Daphnia pulex: one gene and its partners. The main gene of each other region encodes a partner of the protein of the gene in region 2 in a complex. Links are inferred from orthologs where the notes say so. Each region holds a gene or a part of one and is shown on either strand. Other genes may lie near its edges. The genes, in order: eukaryotic translation initiation factor 3 subunit G-like, eukaryotic translation initiation factor 3 subunit D-like and eukaryotic translation initiation factor 3 subunit K-like.

The links.
Region 1: eukaryotic translation initiation factor 3 subunit D-like (region 2) and eukaryotic translation initiation factor 3 subunit G-like share a complex: the UniProt entries of both Homo sapiens proteins name them as parts of the eukaryotic translation initiation factor 3 (eIF-3) complex. The link is inferred for Daphnia pulex from reciprocal best matches to the Homo sapiens genes EIF3D and EIF3G.
Region 3: eukaryotic translation initiation factor 3 subunit D-like (region 2) and eukaryotic translation initiation factor 3 subunit K-like share a complex: the UniProt entries of both Homo sapiens proteins name them as parts of the eukaryotic translation initiation factor 3 (eIF-3) complex. The link is inferred for Daphnia pulex from reciprocal best matches to the Homo sapiens genes EIF3D and EIF3K.

What each region holds. Positions count from the first base shown.
Region 1 is NC_060023.1:11,177,110-11,181,023, reverse strand, and holds eukaryotic translation initiation factor 3 subunit G-like, read left to right. Parts: upstream 1-1,544; 5' UTR 1,545-1,661; coding exon 1,662-1,681; intron 1,682-1,748; coding exon 1,749-1,789; intron 1,790-1,856; coding exon 1,857-2,095; intron 2,096-2,160; coding exon 2,161-2,328; intron 2,329-2,394; coding exon 2,395-2,545; intron 2,546-2,556; exon of another isoform or gene 2,557-2,665; coding exon 2,666-2,778; exon of another isoform or gene 2,779-2,848; coding exon 2,849-2,979; exon of another isoform or gene 2,980-3,138; coding exon 3,139-3,157; 3' UTR 3,158-3,240; downstream 3,241-3,914. Other genes in the region: tRNA (guanine-N(7)-)-methyltransferase-like, read right to left, coding at 362-499, 559-660, 741-885, 949-1,102, 1,167-1,285, 1,354-1,430; flocculation protein FLO11-like, read right to left, coding at 3,377-3,565, 3,642-3,914. UniProt on the Homo sapiens protein: RNA-binding component of the eukaryotic translation initiation factor 3 (eIF-3) complex, which is required for several steps in the initiation of protein synthesis.
Region 2 is NC_060023.1:3,616,111-3,620,287, reverse strand, and holds eukaryotic translation initiation factor 3 subunit D-like, read left to right. Parts: upstream 1-1,377; 5' UTR 1,378-1,523; coding exon 1,524-1,631; intron 1,632-1,691; coding exon 1,692-1,944; intron 1,945-2,001; coding exon 2,002-2,069; intron 2,070-2,128; coding exon 2,129-2,256; intron 2,257-2,327; coding exon 2,328-2,460; intron 2,461-2,524; coding exon 2,525-2,672; intron 2,673-2,733; coding exon 2,734-2,858; intron 2,859-2,922; coding exon 2,923-3,135; intron 3,136-3,194; coding exon 3,195-3,337; intron 3,338-3,396; coding exon 3,397-3,665; intron 3,666-3,987; exon of another isoform or gene 3,988-4,029; coding exon 4,030-4,040; 3' UTR 4,041-4,151; downstream 4,152-4,177. Other genes in the region: cytochrome b-c1 complex subunit 2, mitochondrial-like, read left to right, coding at 1-155, 223-662; L-allo-threonine aldolase-like, read right to left, coding at 4,153-4,177. UniProt on the Homo sapiens protein: mRNA cap-binding component of the eukaryotic translation initiation factor 3 (eIF-3) complex, a complex required for several steps in the initiation of protein synthesis of a specialized repertoire of mRNAs.
Region 3 is NC_060028.1:2,216,505-2,219,561, forward strand, and holds eukaryotic translation initiation factor 3 subunit K-like, read right to left. Parts: upstream 1,685-3,057; 5' UTR 1,576-1,684; coding exon 1,523-1,575; intron 1,433-1,522; coding exon 1,213-1,432; intron 1,152-1,212; coding exon 932-1,151; intron 856-931; coding exon 698-855; 3' UTR 576-697; downstream 1-575. Other genes in the region: acylphosphatase-2-like, read left to right, coding at 239-353; uncharacterized protein LOC124209413, read right to left, coding at 2,333-3,057. UniProt on the Homo sapiens protein: Component of the eukaryotic translation initiation factor 3 (eIF-3) complex, which is required for several steps in the initiation of protein synthesis.

The DNA of each region.
Region 1 (3,914 bases), about 7.6 Mb from region 2:
CAGGAAATCATTCATAAAAGACCCTTCAGTCAAACAGATCTACAAATGGATTGCCAAAAAAGAGAATGTTAAATTTATTTCCATGAAACTTTAATTCAAAGTGCCCATTCGTCATTTGACACGTTTGCGCGCGCTCCCTTTTCAGTTACAAAATACCGTACATACCTTATGAGTTCTTTGTCAACAACTATTGATCTTGGAAAATTTGTCTGTTCTGCGCATGGGCGATGCATACATAAAACGTGGGTCACCTATTTTGAATGGCAGCTTAAAGCTGGTTGATTATGTGAATTCCAGCAAACAGTTCCATTGGGAGCAATACAAGTGACGAGCAGGGAACCGGCAAACAAATTTGTATACATTAGCACTTGTTTTCTTCAAGTACGAATGGATCAGGAATTCTTCTGAATACAGCAAGAAATTTATCACCACTATTTCGCGTGACTTTTTTGCCCTCCTCCGTTGATTCGTACAGTTTTGGAACTACAATGTCTTGATCCTGATACCGCAAAAAGAATTTGTAGTTTTATAGCTATTTAATTATAAAGTATAACTAACCAGCTCTTCCTGGGTTAGTCTCTTAAATAATGGATGTTGGTCTAGATGCATAACCATCCATTCATGAAGATCTTTAACATCAGTAATTGTGTAAACCAAACCCTAAAGTAAAATTTAATTAATCACACAAGATATCTACATCAAGTAGCTAAAGAAGGGCCGTTCTAGGCCTGCCTACTTACCCCTTCAGCCAAAACATAGGCATATTCAGCCAAGAGAGTGTCATTGATAATACGCCACTTGTGTTTGGCCTTCTTAAAATGAGGATCAGGGAAGAGGAAAAACATTTTTGTCAATTGTCCTTTATCGAAAAAGCAAGGGAGGTACCTAGTAGCATAGAATAAATTAAGCAAACATGCCCAAGTAAATGAACAAAATAAATGTAAGTACTTCATGGCATTGCTTCTTAAGCAGGCAACATTTCCGTAATCACCTGGATGCAAAATCCTCAACGCCTTTATGCGATCCTGGACATATTCTGAAACTTTCAAACGAATCTCCATTCCTAACATTAAAGTCTCTGGGAACATGGTGGATAATGATACTGTTAAAAAAAAATACAAAATTAATTTTCCACATATTTTATTGGCAAAATGTGATAAAAATACTCAATAAACCGCCATAGCCACATCCAATATCAGCAAACTGAACTTTGTGTTTCATTATTCCATCTTTGCTGAATGTAGGATAGAGCTCATCCCATTTCATGTCATTGGGAGAGACAGGACTTCAAACGACAAATTGGGTTAGAAAATGACTTAATGATAAATCGAAAACTGGAAATAAGATACTCACTAGTCAAAACAGTGATCTGCGATAGGATTGGAGTGTGCTCTTTGTCGATAATATTTTTTCTGTGGTAAGCTAGCCATTTTTGCTGTATTCGAGTTCCACGTGCCGGAATCTCATAAACGGCGGGATTGTATTCGAAGAAGAGCAGACGAAATTGTAAAAGCAGTCAAAATTACGAAATGAATTTTTCAAAACTGGCAATGTCGCTCTACACACGTTCTAATGGCTGCTTGCTGACACATTTCTGCAATAGCAGTGAATTTTCTACTTTTTGATTATTTACTTGACGTAATCAATCTTCTCCAAGAAAAATGCCGGTTGCTGATAATGAGTAAGTGAAATGAGACAAATTAATGTGCAAATATTAAAAATACAACACAATCTTGATATGATTTCAGAGTTAAATCCAGTTGGGCCGATGACGTTGAGGATATCGATGGTTAGTAATGCCGCTTCCCCGTAATTAATGTAAGATTTTCTTTAATCATGCCGGTATTATTCCTTAGGTCTCGGTTTACCCCCTAACACTGAAGAATACAAAAATGGGCTGAAAATTGTCACAGAGTATGGTCTTGATGATGATAACAGGAAGTTCAAGGTGGTGCGTACTTACAAAATAGAGAAAAGGTATGTAGCTAAAGCCATTGCCCAGCGTAAAAGTTGGCCAAAATTTGGTCTTTCCAAGGAAGATAAACCAGGACCAAACCCTGCAACAACAATTGTATCTGAAGATGTAGCCATGCAGGTATTTCTTTTCTCAGTTGATCTATCAAAACCGTTGGATGCTAATTACCATTTTTACTTTGACAGTTTATTACGAACAAAGAGGATCCTGATAACAAGGAAGATGACCCTCTTATGAAGTTAAAAAGCATGCAGAAGGGCATTGTTAAGTGTCGTATCTGTAAAGAGGACCATTGGACAACACAGTGTCCTTACAAGGACACACTTTTGCCTGTCCAAGAAGCACTCAATAAGGTAAACACATTTTCTTTATTTTGAATTGAACTCTTGCTAATTTTGCTCTATATCTCTTTAATTAAGGCTGAGGAGAAGAAGGCCGGCCCGCCTCCTGCCGCAGCTGCTGCTGGAGGACCGCAAGCCAAGGGTGGTAAAGAAGGAAGCGCCTATATTGCACCTGCACTTCGTGATGGTGGCAACAGAAAAGGAGAGACTATGGCTATGGGTCGACGAAGTAAGATACAGTTTCTTCATAGTAGTTTATTTCATATTATTAAAACCACCGGAGAAGTAATAGAAAACATACATAGGAAAAACATTATTTAATGATTACCCTTTTCTTTCCCGATAACAGCTGATGAAGGGTGCACTGTACGAGTAACCAACCTCTCGGAAAACGCTCGCGATTCCGATCTTCAAGAATTGTTCGGCCGTATTGGCGAAATCTCACGCATCTTCCTCTCAAAGGTTAGACTCAAATTTATTCACTAATTATCATTTTGTAAAAATTATGGCACCGCTTCAAACTGAATTTTAGGACAAAAACACTGGCCAATCCAGAGGTTTTGCATTTGTCAGCTACAAACGACGAGAAGACGCCGAACGAGCTATCAAGACCTTGAATGGTTTTGGTTACGACCATCTTATCCTGACTGTCGAATGGTCTAAGTAAGTTAGCTCTCAATTCACTTAATTTCATTCAAAATAGTTGTGAGCTGAATTTGAAATTCATGACTGGAATTTTTAAAATTTTATTTTTTAACAATTTAGTTCTTTAAATTGACGAGTCAAATGAAACTGATCTTTCTCTTTTCAATCGTTTAACAGACCATCGGGAACACAGTGAAAAAAGCCTAAAATTCCTTCATCAAATATTGGATGCTACGATCATGTAAAGGGATAAAAAAAATACACGCAAATGGATTCCAATCAAGCTCTTCAACCCTCTATCACAGACATGAACCGAATTTTCACCTTTCTCTTTTGTCTTTCTAAGCTAAACATCAAGGGAATGAGGATTACCTCACCTAAACATTATTTTTAAGTGAAAAAAAAGTAAAGTTATCTAGTTTTGCGCTGATTCATCCTCGGCTTGACGTGCAAGATGATAGCCCCTGCTGTTACTGCTAAAGCCTCGTCCTTTACGTTTTGCCAGGTACCAGGCTACAAAAAAGACTGTCGTGATAAAAATGGTGCATCCTAGAACTATGTACATCAGGGAAAGTGGATTCGACTCGATCAATGCGCCTGTTACCTGTATCAACACGGTAAACAAAACAGACGGGTTATAAATACGTAGTGGAAATCATTAGCATTTAAATTTAACGTACCGTTGGGAATATCATCTCTCCCATTGAAGAAGCAACTGAGAAAGCCGCAGAAATCCGGTTAGTTACCAGCAGGTGTGTTTCGGTCCATATGAAGCCTGTTGCGAAGGTTGAAGCCATTCCTACGCCAACCAAGGCCGAACCGACGTACAAAATAGTGGCGTCCGTCTGCCCAGCAACACAGAGAGTCATCGAGCCGAGCGCAGTAGAGCATAAGTTGAAAATGAGCATGGCTGTGGGATTGGTGAAGTGGGCAACGAAAATGGCTACAAATCG
Region 2 (4,177 bases):
TTGCTCGGGGGCTCCTTCGAAAGTACACGGAGGAGAAGTACGTGTGGATACGAGCAGTTCTTTAGCATATGTGGCTGTAGCTGCTCCCGGAGCTTCTCTGGCTGACACGAAAGCCATGGTTGCATTTGCTCTTCTTCAGAGAGCATTGGGTGCAGGTAATCATATTCCCCTTCTTCCCACAATTAAAAAGTCTATCAAAATAACTCCTTTGTTACTGTCTAGGAATCCCAGTTAAATATGGTTCTGGAGCAGGATCAAAACTAAACCAAGCAGTGTTGGGTGCTGGTGCAGTTTCTTCCTTGAATTTGAACTACTCCGATGCTGGTCTATTTGGGTTCGTGGCCGCTGCCCCAGCCTCAGATGCCGGCAAAGTTGTTTCCGCCGCTACAAAAGTTTTGCGATCAGCTTCAGTCAACGAAAGCCAATTGAGCCGTGCAAAAGCCCAACTTAAAGCCGACTTGTTGATGGCCAAAGAGAACACTGGTGTGTTAGTTGAAGAGTTGGCTCTGCAAGCGCTTCTCAACCGGGCTGATCTTCTTTCTACTGTCGATAATGTTTCAATTGCTGACGTCAACGCTGTAGCTTCCCGGTTGGCTTCTGCCAAGCTAACTGTCGCTGCCATTGGAAACCTGAGCAACGTCCCGTTTGTCGATGAATTATAAAATTTTGAATAGGTCTCTGAATTATAATGTAGTCTATATCTATATTTGCACAGTGGCCCATTAGAAAATATCCAGATCGAACGGTTAATCATTCTTAAGAGCTGAAAGAATACACGTGCCCTGTACAGAATATCCACAGTTTCTCTAATCACTCTAATACTGAAAAATCTTACCTCACAATTCCTCTTTATGTTCCTCTTTCGCAAAATTAAGATTGATACGTCATTCATTTAAAAAACGAAGATACATGGAGGAGAAAGTAATGATTCTCTACTCTCGAAAGAAAATTTGTGCTATCTTCGAAAAGACAACAATAATATGTAATTAAAAAACATTTCTCTCTAGTGGGCTTACTTATATTTTAATGAAGTGTGGGGTTTCCGTGATCTTACGTTCAATCTGGTGTAACTTTCTAAAGTAATGTAACATATTTCTTCATCTGAGTCTGAGCTTGACTCTGGAGGGATTTTATAAAAAACACCATATTCCAGATCAGAATACATTTAGTCATTTAGTATTCTGGCCATTTTTTTATTATATTTTTTGTATTTTTTAGCTGATTTAAGATTTTCATACTTCAGTATCTTATTATAATTGCGTCTAAATTAAAAATTTGTGATTGAAATTAAAGATATGCTAATTCGGAATTATTAGGAAAACAGTGGAAAAAAGTAAAGCGGCAGAAAGGTATAAACATCATTTTCAACAATGGCAACAGTGGTATACGTAGCATCCGGTACTAAAATGGCGATTACCATGTTCTAACTTGTAGCAAGCTGTCAGCCAGCCGGTCTAGTGAGAAAGTGCCTACGACTAAATTCTGAAAAGTTATTTTCATAAGGTCACGTTAAATTGTATAACATGGCGGCGCATTTTGTTCCACCAGCGACTCAAGACAATAATGACGGATGGGGACCTTTAGGTATTCCCGACCGCTACAAAGATATGCCATATCAACCATTCTCGAAGGTAACGTTTCATTGCCGAATTTTGTATTAACTTCTTCTGATGTTTTGTTTAATTTATTAGATGTCGGAATGGGCTGGTGGAAGCAGCATCAATTATTCCTTTACAGACCGCAAGTATGGTGGTGGAAAATACTCTGGAGGGGCTGGTGGAAGCCAGTATGCTTATCTGCATGATGAGGAAGAGAACAGCTTTCAGCTTGTGGATACTGCAAGGACTCCAAGACCAATGTATGCTAGAGGAAGATTCCTTCGCAACCAACGGCTTGCAAGAGGCAGACAAAACTTTAGGAATTCTCAGCCTGTGCCACTTAAAGGTAAAGTGTTCAAATAGCAATTAATAGCAACAGATTGTTTATACATTTTCTTTGAAGGTGGCAAGATGAAGGATAACCGAATGAGACAGACTAGGAACAAGTGGAATAATAGAGGACCTCGTCAAGTAAAGCTTCTCACCTTACCGATTATTCAGTCTCATACTCATTTTTTAAAAACTTGTAGGGCCAAATTCAGGTTAAAAACCGTGAATCATCAGTTATTGTTCAGCCTTCATGGAAAATCATTGAAGAGATGGATTTCCCCAGGCTCAACAAACTTTCTCTGCGTCTTAGCAAGGAAGCTTCTGATTTGTAATCAACTATTTAAACTAAAACCTTTCACATGCTGATTTTAAAATAATGATATTATTTTATTTTTCCAGACTTACTTGTGGTGAACTCGAGTTTTATGATAAGCAGTACGACCGCGTAACTGTGAAAAATGAACGAAGACTGCAAAGAATTGATCGTATTTTTCACAAGGTCACCACAACTGATGACCCCATTATCCGCAAAGTAAGAAACAGTAGTCACATTCAAGTCTTACGCGTGGTAGTATGCTAATTCTCAAATTCATTAGTTGGCAAAAACTGAGGGTAATGTCTACGCAACTGATTCCATCTTGGCTACTTTGATGTGCAGTATTCGCTCCAACTATAGTTGGGACATAATCGTCCAGAAAGTTGGTGGCAAACTGTTTTTTGATAAACGTGATGATTCGGAATTTGGTACGTACCTTTTGGCCACTGAGGGAGTTTGCAATGATCTATAATCTTCCCTTTTCCCTAGATCTGCTAACTGTATCCGAAACATCCAATGAACCTCCTCAAGAAGAGGGCATCAATAGCCCACGTAATTTGGCACTAGAAGCGACCTTTATTAATCATAATTTATCCCAACAAGTCCTGAAGATGGTATTTATAATAGGTTTTATAAAATGGCATAAATCCCTAATTTTGTCGTTTCATAATCTTGTAGGGAGAAGAAAAATTCAAATTGGATGAGCCTAATCCCTTCATTTCGGAAGATGAAGTAGGTGAAGTTGCCTCGGTGGCTTACCGTTACCGTAAATGGGATTTAGATGGGGGTGTTGTTCTGGTGGCACGTTGCGAACATGACGCTGTCACCGTTGGATCGGCTGGTGATAACCAATTTATCAACATCAAAGCTCTTAATGAATGGGACTCAAGGGTATGCATATTCACTGTTCGTAATGAAACTGTGTCTTTAAAATGATTTTGTACTTCAAGTTGTCTGGTGGAGTCGAATGGCGCCAGAAACTGGACACTCAGCGAGGTGCTGTTCTGGCCAACGAGCTGAAGAATAATGCATGCAAGCTAGCAAAATGGACTGTGCAAGCTCTGCTCGCCAACTCTGATTGGATTAAATTCGGGTATGTGAAGACTCCTGTTGTCCCTCGAATATTATTGTAACTAATATTGTTTACTTCAGATATGTTTCCCGTATGCACTTACGAGATACATCGCGTCATGTAATCCTTGGAACACAGCAGTTCCGCCCGTCAGATTTCGCATCGCAAATCAACCTTAACATGGACAATGCTTGGGGCATTCTCCGTTGTATTATTGATTTGTGTATGAAGGAAGAGGATGGCAAATATTTGTTGGTGAAGGATCCTAACAAGCCCGTCATCCGCCTTTACAAGGTGCCCGATAACACGTTTGAGAGCGACGATGAAGCATTTTTCGAAGAAGGCGAAGGTTTGTAACCAATCAATATCGTAACGTGCGTGTGTAACTGCTGGCTTGCTTTTTTTGCTTGGGTGTTGGCCTCCCTTTTTTTTTTACTAGCAAAGATTAAATAAACACGTCCAAGCAGTTAATCAAATTTCCCTGCATTTGTACGCCGTGTTACGTTTTGCTTGAATTCGTAGCTCGAGCTTTGTATATATGTATAATATCTAACCACTAGTGGAAGTGCTTGGCTTCTTGGGGGAAAAAAACCTAATTAGATACGCGACATGACTTAAGGTAGCTTTAAAAAAGGCGCTATTAAACGCATGATTTCATAACGTCAACCACGAAATGGTAAATAATAATGTATTTATTTTTTACACATGAATAGAAGACGAGTAACGGCTGATACAAACAAAAGAACAGCTCTTCCACCAATTCCCCAATCTACAACAGTACTACGTTTGTAATGATCGTTACATGGAATAAAGCACTTATGAAGCTTCCAGTTTACTTATACAGCTTTACTTTGTTTGATT
Region 3 (3,057 bases), on a different chromosome or scaffold from region 2:
CATCGAGCCCATTCGAGGTTCTAGATAAGGCACACGAGTCATGGTTTGGGCAGGACACGTCGTTAAATACCTTAACTATGCTGGGCTCGTCCTCTGTAGAGCGAGGAGAAACAAGCTACTTTTAGAATCTTCCTGACCCGTCATGCGCTCGGTGCCAAAGCGGATTCGTCTGTGTGTTTAACGAGTTCTACTACTAGAAATAATTAAAATTGTTGTTCCAAACCTTTTTCCTCCACAGGGCACAATGGCTGACGAGGACAGGTAGCCCCGGATGCAAGATCGACCACACCGAGCTTCGCAATTGGGAATACCTTGCACGGCCCGAGTTCCGCGGATTCAGCATCCGTTTTTGAAGCGAATGAAAATGGTTTTTCTTTGTTTTTTCAATGTCCCGCTAATCATTTAAAACATCCACCAATTCACTTGTCAATGTAGAGGCACATGCCCACACCATATCGGCCAAAGCAGAATCGAATTTCAGAACTTTTAATTAGATGCTGCTTGAGAGGAAAACAGATTCCGGGTGTAAATACGGCGATGGGATTCACTGCTTGGGTGGTTTAACGATCATCAAATTCAAACATGACAATTGTGTATATGAAGCTGTTACAAAACAGAAATACACTGCCCTTGGAATTGTTTGTTTGTTGGTTTTTCTTTCTTCCTGTTTGCAGATCGGTCAAAGACAGTTTCACTTTTAAATGCAGTGTGACATGATTCCAGCCACGTTTTCAAATTCGATCTTCTCAGTGATGTTTTTGGTCTTGACCAAATCTTCTTGCGACGTGATGAACACACGGCCGTTGCCCAGGTCCTTCCAGCTGCACTTCCCGACCCATTGTTTCAAAACTTGATCTGAAAAGAGAGGTTTTTAAAATTAAAATGTCGAAAACCATGTTAAGAGGGAATACATGGATAATATTGCCATTACCGTTGACATTGCCAAGAAGTTCTTTTAATACCGGAACTTCAATAGTTTGATAGGTAATGTTGACAACATGAGCAACAAACTTCCTAATAGCATCTTCAAATCCTTGAACAGTAATAATTAGGTCACCACATTTGGCCAATTCCTCCCAAAACTGCTTGAATTTGCACGTTTCCAGCAAATCAGCTAGGACCATTACTCTGCTCACTTGAGGTTCTTCCAACTGAAAAGTAAAAAAATTAATTCCTATTAAATATATTAGATTAAACAATCATATTACATACCCTATCTTGAGTCAAAAGGCATTTGCACAGCAAGAAGTCTGTGTGAGGTAAATTGGTCATTGCCTTCAGTAGGATCAGATTAACAATGTTACTGCGGTAGAAATTTGGGCCAAATTGGTACAATCGCAACACACTTAGGTTGGCCTCTAGGTCATACATATTTTCTTGTGCTTGCAGTTCAACATAGCGTTCTAGCTTCTGAAGATTGTCGGGATTGTACCTAGAAATAAGAGAACAAACCGCCATTGTTCATTACAGTGTTCCTCAACTATGCAGATGGGGTTAACTTTTTCAGATTATTTTCTCTTACCTTTCAATTCCTTGTAGCATAGAAGCGATTTCTGTTTTCATCTTTTCGGCCATTATAATGAACTGTTATTGAAATTGTTAACAATCAGTAACTAGACTTTGACGGATGACGGAAATGTGGCTTTAGCAGACGCTTTCGGCCTAAGAGGCTCTGTTGCCATTTAAAGCATTATCAGCTAAGTGAAGGAGTGGAAACTTTCCATTTTCACTCTGCGATAAAAGTCGAGAATGAAACAAATAGAACGATTTTTTTTTGAGCTATAATTTAGGGCGAAAACCCTCATAAACCCCTCAGTCGGAAAATAACTCCGCTCCTTGGTAGGTGGAGCGGGTGGAGCTGTGGAGCTTCTTTCAACCAATGAAAGTGATTCGAATTTCCGCCAATTTTAAAAGTTGAAGATGTAGCTGACATTTAAATCTTTGAAAAATCTTTGACAGAAGATATTTTCACGGTACACTTAGCACTTAGCAGATTAGGCGATGGTCAAAATTCAAATGATTAAAAAAGACGACAAAAAATAAAAACTAATAACTGTTACTTGCTGCCATCAGTAACTAATTTTAATAATGGTTGCTCAAACATGCTCTATGAACCCTATTTCCCCGAGGAATTCCGAGCAAACATCAAAATGCCACCTTTATAAGATACCGAGAGAGAACATATGAGATTTCCTCGTGTTGTTACTCAAGAATAATTAAAAAAAAACAGTACCGGTAAATTACCGATATTAGGCTAATTACCGGCGGTAATTGAGTGGTTTTATCATAAAAAATGTATTACATTGTACCTTTTTATTTTTTTAACTAATAATTAGTAAGGGTGACGTATTTCTAATTCAAGTTCCCAATTGTTCTTGGTCAAAGTTTCTTCCCATTCGATGGAATCTTCAAACGTTATCTTATCGCAACGTTCCAAAATCAGTTTCTTTAGAGGGATATTCTGTTGTAAAAAAAGGTTCACACCGTATTTAGTTACTTCGTTACAGTGAGTTAACCACAATCTCTCAAGATGACGAAAGGAATTGACATGCGTTGCTTTTCGTATGATTTTGTCAGTTAGGTTATTCAAAAGTTTTATGGAAATGAATGATAGTAACGGAGAAGACAATAAGATTAACACAATTTCTGCGGGGACAAAGGAATGAAGCGAATCATCAGAACATAACATCAATTCTTCCAGATGTTTTAAGATAGGAATTTCCCTTTTATTTCCCGATTTTTGTTCTTCTTCTTTAGGCCAACGATCAAATTTGCTGCGCATATGAAGGCAAAGGTATTGAAGCTTGTGGCAAAATTGCATTATGGTTAAAATGTCTAAGTCAAGGAAGAAAACGTCAAGTTCTAATTTTGTCAAGGAATTCCCAAATTTTTTGAGAAGGGGAAGAACTCCTCCTTCAAAAGTGATACCTCCAGAATATCTAAAAGTAACTTCATTAAAGTTTAAAGGCTTTCTTTGATCGATTTCAAGGATGTAGAGGCTTTTAAGGGAAAGTAAACTAACGAGATCCGCGTCTTTTACGATTCCATCACACATCA